2 linked regions of the Macaca fascicularis genome follow. The protein of the gene in region 1 purifies or fractionates together with the protein of each later gene. This does not show direct contact. Links are inferred from orthologs where the notes say so. Each region holds a gene or a part of one and is shown on either strand. Other genes may lie near its edges.

Region 1 (5,163 bases):
ATCCTTCCACCTAAGCTTCCCAAAGTGCTGGGATTATAGGCTTGAACCATCGTGCCCAGAGCAGGAATTTACAGTTTAGTGGAAAGGCACATTTAAAAAGATATACTGTTTTGGCTCTTACTAAGGGATATTTGAGTTATCTATTTATATGCCTGTCCTTCCTTCCTAGTTTGTATGCCCCCCGAGGGCAGTTGTCATATCTTTTTCATGTCTGTACCCTCGGTACCAAGTAGAATTCTTGGATTCTTGGACAAGGGCTCTTAATATGTGTGGAACTGAACAGAACTGCATACATGACTATAAGGAGTGTTGAGTGTACACGAAGGAAAGAATATGTAGTTTGGTCTGACACAATCTGGAACTGGGAGGCTGACATGAGCTTCGTATTGGAGAATGGCTAAGACTTTGCCGGATGAAGGAAGGAGAAAGGCCATTTTAGGCAAAAGGAACAGCATAAGCAGGGGCACCAAGTTATCAACAAAGCTGCAAAGGTAGTTTCTGGCCAGATCATAAAGAGTTCTGTGTGACAGTTTTAAGAAATGGATTGAAGTTATAGAAAATGAGCACCTTTTTGTTTAAGGTAATAAACCCTGGGAGCAGTGCAGAAGATTGATTATTTTAGGGACAGAATGTTAGCAGGTAGACTATTTAAAGATAATTAGCCACAAAATATGTGAAATATTATTCAGCCTTAAAAAACAAACGAGGAAATTCTGTCATTTGCAACAAAAGGGATGAACCCAGAGGACATATGCTAAGGGAAACAAGCCAGGCACAGAGAGACCAGTACCTCATGATCTCACTCACATGTGGGATCTACTTCTAAAGTCATAGAAGTAGAGAGTAGAATGGTGGTTACCAGAGGCTGGGGCAAGGAGAGGAAGCGAACGAGGAGATGTTGGTCAATGGGTACAAAGGTTCAGTTAGACAGGAGAGTAAGTTGTTGAGATCTATTGTACATCATGATGACTATAGTTAATGAAAATATATTGTGTATTTTAAAATACCTAAGAAAGTGAATTTCAAATGTATCACCACAAAAGAATAAGTGAGGCAATGAATATGTTGACTTAATCATTCTACATTGTATACCCATATCAAACATCACATTGTAATCTATAAATGTAAACAATCATGATTTATCAATTAAAAATATTTCTAAAGAGAAATATAAAGATAATCAGCTATAAAATTAAAAAGGCAAAGGGGTTTTCATTAAAATTAAACTGTATTAAAATCATAGTAAATGCAACTAAAGAGCTATTTAGCCCTAGGAAAAGTATGAACTATCCTGAGCCTGGGTTTTTAGTAGTGTTGTGGTAAAGATTAATGAGATAAAATATATAAAGCAGAATGTAGAATTCCTGGGAAACATTAGGTGTACAATCAATAGGTGGCGTCATTATTAATCTCTGGGAGATTCCACTCTCTCATCTGTAAAAGGAATACAAAATACTTACTTTTTAGTTATTTCTTGAAGACGGCATATCTGAAACATACCTGGTGTTTAGTGAATGCTGTTATGTAAGAATATCTTGCAAGAGCCCAAGTGAGAAATGATAAACTAAGGCAATGGCAAGTGGGGTGAAGAAGAGGTCATATTCTGGGGAGCATTTTGAGGTAGAACTGACAGGAATTAACAGCATGGAATTGGAACATGAATTTGGGAGTAATCAACATATTGTAGTCTAATTCTTGGGAGTCTAGCGTGAGAAGAGAAGGGGACCCAGGGATGTAAACTTGAAAATACCAGTATACCAGAGGCAGGAGGAAGACAAAAAGTGAGGGAATGAAGCAGAGAAAAAGTGATTTGAGATGAAAAAGAATCAGAAAAGCAGAGCCATGGAAACTCTGGGAGGGAAGACTTCCAAGAAGTACTAGTAAGATAAACATATATTTGTGCTAAAGGCTATGGCAACCAGATAGGTCATCAGTGAAACTAAGGGAAGCAATTTCAGCATTGAAGCTGTGTGACTATTGCTCAAATCCCAGTGACAGCACCTTTGTCATTCCTTTTTCACATTCTACTCACCTTGAACAATTAATTCCACCTCTTTTCTGTTTTTCCCAATCAAATTAACTCCTTCACACACATAAATTCCAGAATCTTCCATCCTCATAGCAATTAAGGTGAGAGTTGCATTCCCAGAAAGGTGCTGTAGATTCCCATTATCTAATTTCTTACTCCAGAAAATCTCTGGAGGTGGTAGACCCTCACTGGAACAGGTCATGGTCACAGAGCCACCTTCTTGTAGCCTTGTGGATGGATTCACAGAAATAACTGTATTCTTGGGTGATACTGAAAAGGCAAAAAAATAATATTAGCAATTGCTAAGCATCATCCCAGTGCAACAGAGGGAATGTATTTCTCTTAGACAGTATTTATGTGCTTCCACCAATTTGATGAAATTACTCTGCCAAATTAGTATAAAGAACTGCTGAATCATTCAAAATAATCTATCCAGTTTCTGACTAAACTGATCGAGTTTAGTTGATGTTTCATGTTTTTCAGACGGTTATAGGTAGTCAGAAATTAAGAAGAACCATGTGGCTTAACCTCCCACTAAAGGGTAGGAGTCCCATTTAAGCATTCTTGCCAAGTGCCCATTCCAGTCAACTTCAACATTTACTGAGAGAATCAACCCATTGCTTTCCAAAAGAGTCAATTTGATTTTTGGACAGCTCTACGTATTAGCACATTTCTCCCTATTGAGCTGAAATCTTCTCTCTATACTAATTTAAACATATTGGCCATAATTCAGCCATGTGCTGTTACAGAAAAAGGTAAATCACTCTTTCATATAACTGTCTTTCAAATGCTTAATTAGAGCTCTTTTCCAGGTTTTGTATTCTCTTAGGAAAAATATCCTCTATCTTGACTATTCTTCTCAAAATATTGTTAAAAGCCTGCCCAGCTCATTCTCTTTCAGCTAAACATGCCATAGTTGGCAATACTCCTTTTAAATGTAGTGCCCAGTGCAAAACATAGCATTTTAGACTAGAACCGAGCACAGTGAGCCCACTCCTACACAACGCTGGGACTGTAAGACTCCCGTAAATCCCCTGGCAGTATCAGGCAGATTGGAGGCAATCAAACCCCATCATTTTTTCCCTGTCCAATGCACATATGTATGTACGTGCATATGCATACACACACACATACACACACAGAGAGAGAATAACTGCTCACCTTGTCAAGTTTCTGTACCTGTGCAACTAATATTTCAAGGCATACTATAAGAGTTTACAAAACAATATTAAAGTGTTTTATTATTTGAACCTGTTTCTCACTACCCAATCTGGTGGTATGACTATTCCCCTTTTATACCCTGGGAAATAGAGAAATTAAGTAACCCAAACTTACACAGTTAATAGAGACAGAAATTAAGCTCAAGTCTTCTCCATCCAAATCCAGTGTTCTTTTCATTGAATTGTACTATTGGCAAACATTATGTTCTCAATGAATACAAATGGAATACAAACTATATACAAGTGGTTTTTTTTGTTGTTTTTTTTTTTGTTGTTTTTTTTTTTTTTTTTACTTTGCTGCTAAGTTTATTGCTATACACAACCGAGGTGGGATTCCCACAAAGACTGGAACACATCGCACAAGTACTTACTGTAGACTTGCAATTCTTCTACAGCCTCCCTTTCTGTGGGCACAGAATCCATTTCATCAATGTGTAATTTAGCTCGGCAAACAAGAACTTTCCCAATATCTTCAATGACAGGAGTAAAGGTTACTTCCAAACTCTTGGTTTCCAGGGACTTCCTGTCTGCATCCTCCAGAAATTCCTGACTCTTCATGAGATGATCTCCTTTCATTAAGTCTATCTCCAGCCTGTCAAATGGGTATACATCAGCAACCAAACACTTGACTGTGATCGGCTTCCCAGCCTCCAGAGGACCACTCAGATGAATCTCTGGATCCCTAGGAAAAGCTGTAAAGGTCAAACAAATACATGGATGGGCTTTTTGCTCATGGGATATAAGGTCTCTTACTGCTTTAACACAATACAAATCAAGCCTAGTGTTTTTGTTAATACAGTCTTAATACAGAAGAATTGTTTAAATAGCCTGTCATGATTTGGGGTGAGTTCAAGGTGCAAGAATTGGAAGCAAACATTTTTTAGAACATTATTCTATTCTGATCCTGTATATATTAAGGGTTGCATGTTATTACAGTAAAAGAAGGAAGAAAAAATGTTTATATTGAACCTTACATGTGGCTGTCACTGCGCTATAGATTTAACATGAATTATTTTATTTTATCCTCACAACAACTCTAGGAGATAGAGATCACATTTTACAGAAAAGAAGACTTGGACTTAGTACATTTACATAACTTATCTAAGGTCACACACCTAGTAAATGGTAAAGCTGGGATTTAAATTCAGGATTTCTATTACTCGGTTTTGCTACTACAGATTTACATTATGTTACATCACATTTTCTTATTATAGTCAGGGCAGATATATTTCCATTTTACAGATAATGACTTTAAGGCTTGGAATGTCATTGCAAAGAATAGTTATTGTCAAGATATTCTAAGACATGAAAAGACCAACTTTAAGTAATTAGCTTCTGAAAACGGTGCCTCTGATAGGAATTCATCCACCAGAAAGATACATTTGTGCAATCTTTATGTTCTGGAACACATATTTGCCTCCTGAAATGCCTAACTCAGTATCCCACCAAGTGTTCCATTGAAGCTTCTAGTACAAGGAAATGTACTACTTCTTGTAGCCATTGCCTCCTTTGCAAGAGTTACCTTTTTCATTACACATTGTCATGAAGTAACATATTGTAACATATTGGTGAATTCAAAACTCTGTGTAACAAAAAGAATACAAAGGTCTCAACTCTAAGCACTATTACAATCAAATGTGGAAAGGAGACAGAACTGTTATACATAATGAAAACCAGACACTCTTGGAGAAAAACCTCAGGCAAGATAATTAAAGCCAGAAGTGTCTTCATTTATCTTTTTTAAATCTTCAACTATTTGGTACTAGTGGGCAAAAGACAAAGGAGCTGGAAATTCTTTGCTATGTGAAGAAACATGGTATTTTTCATTTTTTCCAGCAATAATTTCTGTCCTTCATATTCTGTAAGAAACGTTCCTCTAATCCACACAGTCTGATGTCAGGTAACATAAGAACT
Region 2 (5,163 bases), on another chromosome or scaffold:
AAAAAAAAAAAAAAAAAAAAAAAAAGCCTGGGGAATTGCAAGGCTTGCTGCCTCTGGGTCTCTCAACCCAACCTTCTCAACACACTCAGGGATTGTGAGTTTGGGCCACCCTCCCTTACCTCTATACCTTTGTCCTCATATCACAGCCCCACATAGGCCAGTGTACACGGGGCCCTGTCAATGTGCCCCTGAGTCAGGAATCCTAGCTCTCCCACCAACCCACTGGGTGACCTTAGCTATGTCACTGCTTTGCTCTTGTTCCCCTATCTTGAAAATGGTCCAATAAGACCTGCCCTATATACCTTGTAGGGAGACAAGTTTTGGCTCTCTGCTGGGATGAAGTGCTTCAAGTCCAGTAATCTCTATGGCTAGTGCATCAGTCCTCAGGTCCAAATCTGTCTGCCCTAAAGCCCAGCTCTAGGCTTCTTTTTCCCAGAGTTTGTTACAAATCTGGAATAGGTATTTGCTTTTTCTTGCCCTAGCACCTCTTCCAGGAACCTTCTTATCTCCCTTGGCTAGGTATTCTCCATCTGAGCCCTCAGAATACTTGGCTTACCCTTCTCCCCACCCCTCTTCTATGTTTTTTTCTCCATAGCAATTCTTAACCATCTTATGTACCACATAATTTGCTTATTTATTATGTTTGTCTCCTCCCCACTAGAATGCTAGCTTCACAAAAGCAGAGATTTTTGGTCTTTTCTTATTCATTGCTCAATAAATATTTATTAAGTGAATGAATGGCATGGCGTTTGTACCTTGAGTTATGTATATATTGTTTTCCCTCTCTCTGCTACTAGACTGAGTAGACTGTGAGGTCCTACAGGGCAGGTTCCTGCTAGATCCAGCTCTGTAAAAACTGCCCCTCAAACTTGGTAAATGTTTTCTGAATAAATGTGAACATTGGTGTCTAACCTCTTATCTATGAAGTCCTAGGTTGGCCTCATGTCCTGACTTAGCAGGCTGGGTACCTTTGAGAAGCTTCCTTGCCCCAGCCCTGGCCCCCCACATCAGTGTGCAGCACCTACCGCTCCATCTGCTTCTGGTGCTTCTCCTCCCGGGCCTGTGCCTTCATCTGCTGCACCTCAATGGTGTCAGGCTTGCGACGGCGCATGTATAGTTCATGGTTCCCCATGCACAAGGCCAAGATACGCTTGTTAATCCGCAGCCGGGGAGCATAGAAGACGAAGTCCTGGTGGGAAATCAGCAATCAGAAAGAATTCGGAGGGCCAGGTGAAGGTGATCTTCTGCCTTCTGAAAAGCTAAATCCAAAAGCACTGAAAAGAATGTCTAATCTAACCTCCTGCACTACAGATGGGAAGACTAATTATCAGAGTGGTAAAGTGACTTACCCAGGGTCAGACAGCAGGCAGACCAAAGACTAGAAACCCAGGTTTCTTGACTCTGAAACCCGTGTTCTTCCCACAATTTCTTTCAATCTTTGCTTATGAAAGCATCCTAAATTACTCTTAATCAAGTTGAAGGATTCAAACTTTCTCTGCTAATTAGGGAACATGCTAGGTCTCAGGTGACCTCTTTTGGAAGCCAAATGACCCCTGACAATACGCTGGTGGGTGCAGTATGGGTGACTGGACTGTTTCTACAATCTCCTGAAAGCAAATCCTAGAGCCAGCCCCTTAAATCCTTTTTGGAACAAGGCAGGCTGTAAATACATATATAAATACATAAATCTCCTGATCACTGCTTGTCCTGGTTGTTGTTTTTAAAATGAGCCCTTGATCTCAGCTGGCTTTGTTACTCAACTTTTTCTGATAAAAGTTGAGCACAGTAGCAATAAAAGAAAACACACAAGAAAATCCAGTGAGTTTGAGTTTGCTACTACAAATACCACTGGACCAAAGTCACCAGCTGACGGGCTAACCGCCATCTCCTCTGCCACTGACCACACACTGCTACTGTCTCATATAGCTTGGGGTGCAGTGGAGGGAGCACAGGCTCTCAAAGTCAAATCACCTAGGTACAAATCCCAGTTCTACCATTTTTAGCTGTGTTATCTTGAACAAATCACTCCATCTCTCTAACCTCAGTTTTGTCAACCATAAAATTAGTATGCTACTTACTACCTACCTGACCATGTTGCTGAGGGTTTAAGGAGACAACGTGTAAAGTCCCTAGCAGGGAAAGTTCAGACACCTCAGGGCTGGAGAAGAATGGTTGAGCCTTCATGAAAAGGGTCAGGCGCAGTATTGTCACTGGGCCTTGTTGAACATGAGGTATCGCAGAAAAGGAGATACTCAGCTCAGTTTCCTACCCTACCACAATCACCAGCTGTCTGGTCTTGTTAGCTGCAGGCTACTGAGTGGGTAAGAAGTGTGGCGAGTGTGTTAGAGAAATGAGTGAAGTTAAAGCACTTTTTTGGTCTTGGAATGCTCTGGAGAAAAGTCTGAGAGGGCAGCAGTCAAGTTCTACCAAGAAGTTTGTAGGATCATCTTGGGATTTGTACTTCTCTGGTCACAGCCATTTCTCCATAATAAAAAAAAGAAATCAAGGGCTGGGCATGGTGACTCACACCTGTAATCCCAGCACTTTGGGAGGCCAAGGCAGGCAAATCACCTGAGGTCAGGAGTTCAAGACCAGCCTGGCCAACATGGCGAAGCCTTGTCTCTACTAAAACTACAAAAATTAGCCGGGCACGGTGCCATGCACCTGTAATCCCAGCTACTCGGGAGGCTGAGGTTGTAGTAAGCCAAGATTGTGCCACTGCACTCCAGCCTGGGCGACAGAGCGAGACTCTGTCAAAAAAGGAAGGAAGGGAAGGGAAGGGGAAGGGAGGGAGAGGAGGGGAGGGGAGGGGAAAAGAAAAGAGAAGAGAAGAGAAGAGAAAAGAAAAAAGAAAAGAAAAGAAAAGAAAGGAATCAAATATGTGAACAGTGTCCACTTTTCGGGACCCCAGGGGCTTGGAAATACGAGATGCATTTGGTTTCCACCCCAGAATCTCAGGGCGGCAGAGACAACGGCTAAGAAGTAGTACTTAACACTGCCTGTGGCTCTCCCTCATCCACAGTGAGGGAGACAGGTAGCAGAGTAGAATCAGGTACAGGATGTCTGCTGGCCATTTTTGGCATCAACATCTCCCTCCATTCCCAATCTCTATCTGTGCTTCCTGTTCGTGCATGTGTGCACACACATGCACGCGCACACACACACGCACACATACACACACACACAAACCAGCAAAGGAAGAGAAAAATAGAATAGCATGATTGCTCATTATAGAAGGCCTTGGCAAGTACCCGTCTTGGTCAGAGGGAGGAATCACTCACCGGGGCTTTTTTGTCAATGGGCTTGATGACAAATTTCTTATCATTGAAAGAGATGTTCCTGATTTCACTCCAGGGGAAGCCTATCTTGGGAGTTAGTCTGTAGAAATGGAAACCAATAATATCAGGACAAGGGCAAGACAAGAAGGGCGTAGAGAACTGGTGGCTTGCCCTCACATCACCCCCAAGCTTCTATGTCTCTCTCTCTCTCTCTCTCTTTTTTTTTTTTTTAAATAAATAGAGACGAGGTCTCACTATGTTACCCAGTCTGGTCTTGAACTCTTGGGCTCGAGCGATCCTCCCTCCTCAGCCTCCCAAAGTGCTGGGATTACAGGCATGAGCCACCAAGCTTGGCCAAACAAACACTTCTCTCTGGAGGAGGTAGACTCGGTGCCAGCTCAGCCAGTGTCATCACATGCCACCAGGTCAGTTGCCAGCATTGAGTTCACTAAAGGATCTCCTGATACTACAACTAACATATGATTCCTTGTCTCGAGTTTGTTTTGTTATGTTTTTGTTTGAGGCATGGAACTTGTAACAATTCCTCAAGGGAATCCCCAGCCCTATTTAACTGAGTTTCTTCTATCCAAGCTTACAAAAGTTAGAGAAAACGTAAATAATGAACTCCAAGATTCAGCAGTTATATGGAACAATAATCTATTGATCTCCATTCTCACCAAGAGCACACCAAGTGAAAAATATAAGCAAGTGAGATAAGGCTACAGTGAGAGGATTATAGGCCAAAAGCCATTTAATTATCACAGGAGACTAATCATAATATATCCCGATAAGACAGTCTAGGCCTGCACAAATCAATAAAAACATAATGACTGTCACATATATAATTTTAAGTTTTCTAGTAGCTACATGAAAATAAGTAAAAAGAAATGGATGTAATAAAATTTTAATAAGTTTAATTAGCCCAATATATCTAAAATATTATCATTTGAACATGTAAATAAATATTTTTAAAAATATTAAGACATTTTTGCATTCTGTTTTTCACACTAATCTTCAAAGTCCAGTGTGTAGTTTACACTTACAGCACATCTCAATTCAAAGTAGCCACATTTCAAGTGTTCAATAGCCCCATGTGGCTGGTGGCTACCACAGTTGACAGTGTGAGTCTAGTCAATACAGGATTTAGAGGCCTAAGGAAAGTTGTGAAATCATCTGGGCTGGACTAAATTAGGTAGAAAAAGAACTGAGGTGGGACCCAAGAGCTATGGCCTTGCTCCTTGGTGAAAAGTGAGCCCTAGATGTTAACATAACCTAAATAAACTAAAAGAGATCTGAGATATACCTGTCATTCTGCTCATAGATGTTGAGACCCAGTGCATCCACCCCCAGCCACAGCTCTGAGCCTTTCTTGTTCTTGATGCTGAAGTAGTTCACACCATACATCTCCAGATCTTGAGCAATCTTCAGATATTCCAGGACAGCATCCTCCCTAAATGACACAGTTGGGGGTCACAAAGTGGGGCTTGTGAGTCAGACCCAAGGAGAGAGAAAGCCTGCTTACTCTGTACTTCTGACAAGTATCTTGCTATCGGGAGTGGGAAAGGGCACAAAAGGCAACCAGATGATGGAGAACAGAGCATAGCATGACTTTTGCAAAGCAAAATCTCCTAACAAAAACCTAGGGTCTATGCTCCCAAAGGGAATAAAGATGGGTTGACCCTTGCTGGCCTCTGGCATGTTGGCTGCCACAGAAGCAATTTTCTTTCTCTCATTCATTGTGACAGCCTCTTACACATTCTTAGCAGGGCTCAGAATGTGGTTATGGCAAAATGATGATATTTGTCCTTCAACTAGACAACCCTCAAAAATGCTTTGCCATGTTTAAGAGCTCCTTCCTTATTTCCTTCTGGCAGGGGGCGGGGAG

What was found.
Region 2: the proteins of VCAM1 (region 1) and MSN purify together in Homo sapiens (affinity purification with western blotting; 3 studies listed by BioGRID, with this or other methods). This does not show direct contact. The link is inferred for Macaca fascicularis from reciprocal best matches to the Homo sapiens genes VCAM1 and MSN.

What each region holds. Positions count from the first base shown.
Region 1 is NC_088375.1:133,682,875-133,688,037, forward strand, and holds part of VCAM1 (vascular cell adhesion protein 1), read right to left. Parts: intron 3,942-5,163; coding exon 3,621-3,941; intron 2,300-3,620; coding exon 2,033-2,299; intron 1-2,032. UniProt on the Homo sapiens protein: Cell adhesion glycoprotein predominantly expressed on the surface of endothelial cells that plays an important role in immune surveillance and inflammation.
Region 2 is NC_088395.1:72,028,716-72,033,878, reverse strand, and holds part of MSN (moesin), read right to left. Parts: intron 4,729-5,163; coding exon 4,582-4,728; intron 3,379-4,581; coding exon 3,282-3,378; intron 1,190-3,281; coding exon 1,026-1,189; intron 1-1,025. UniProt on the Homo sapiens protein: Ezrin-radixin-moesin (ERM) family protein that connects the actin cytoskeleton to the plasma membrane and thereby regulates the structure and function of specific domains of the cell cortex.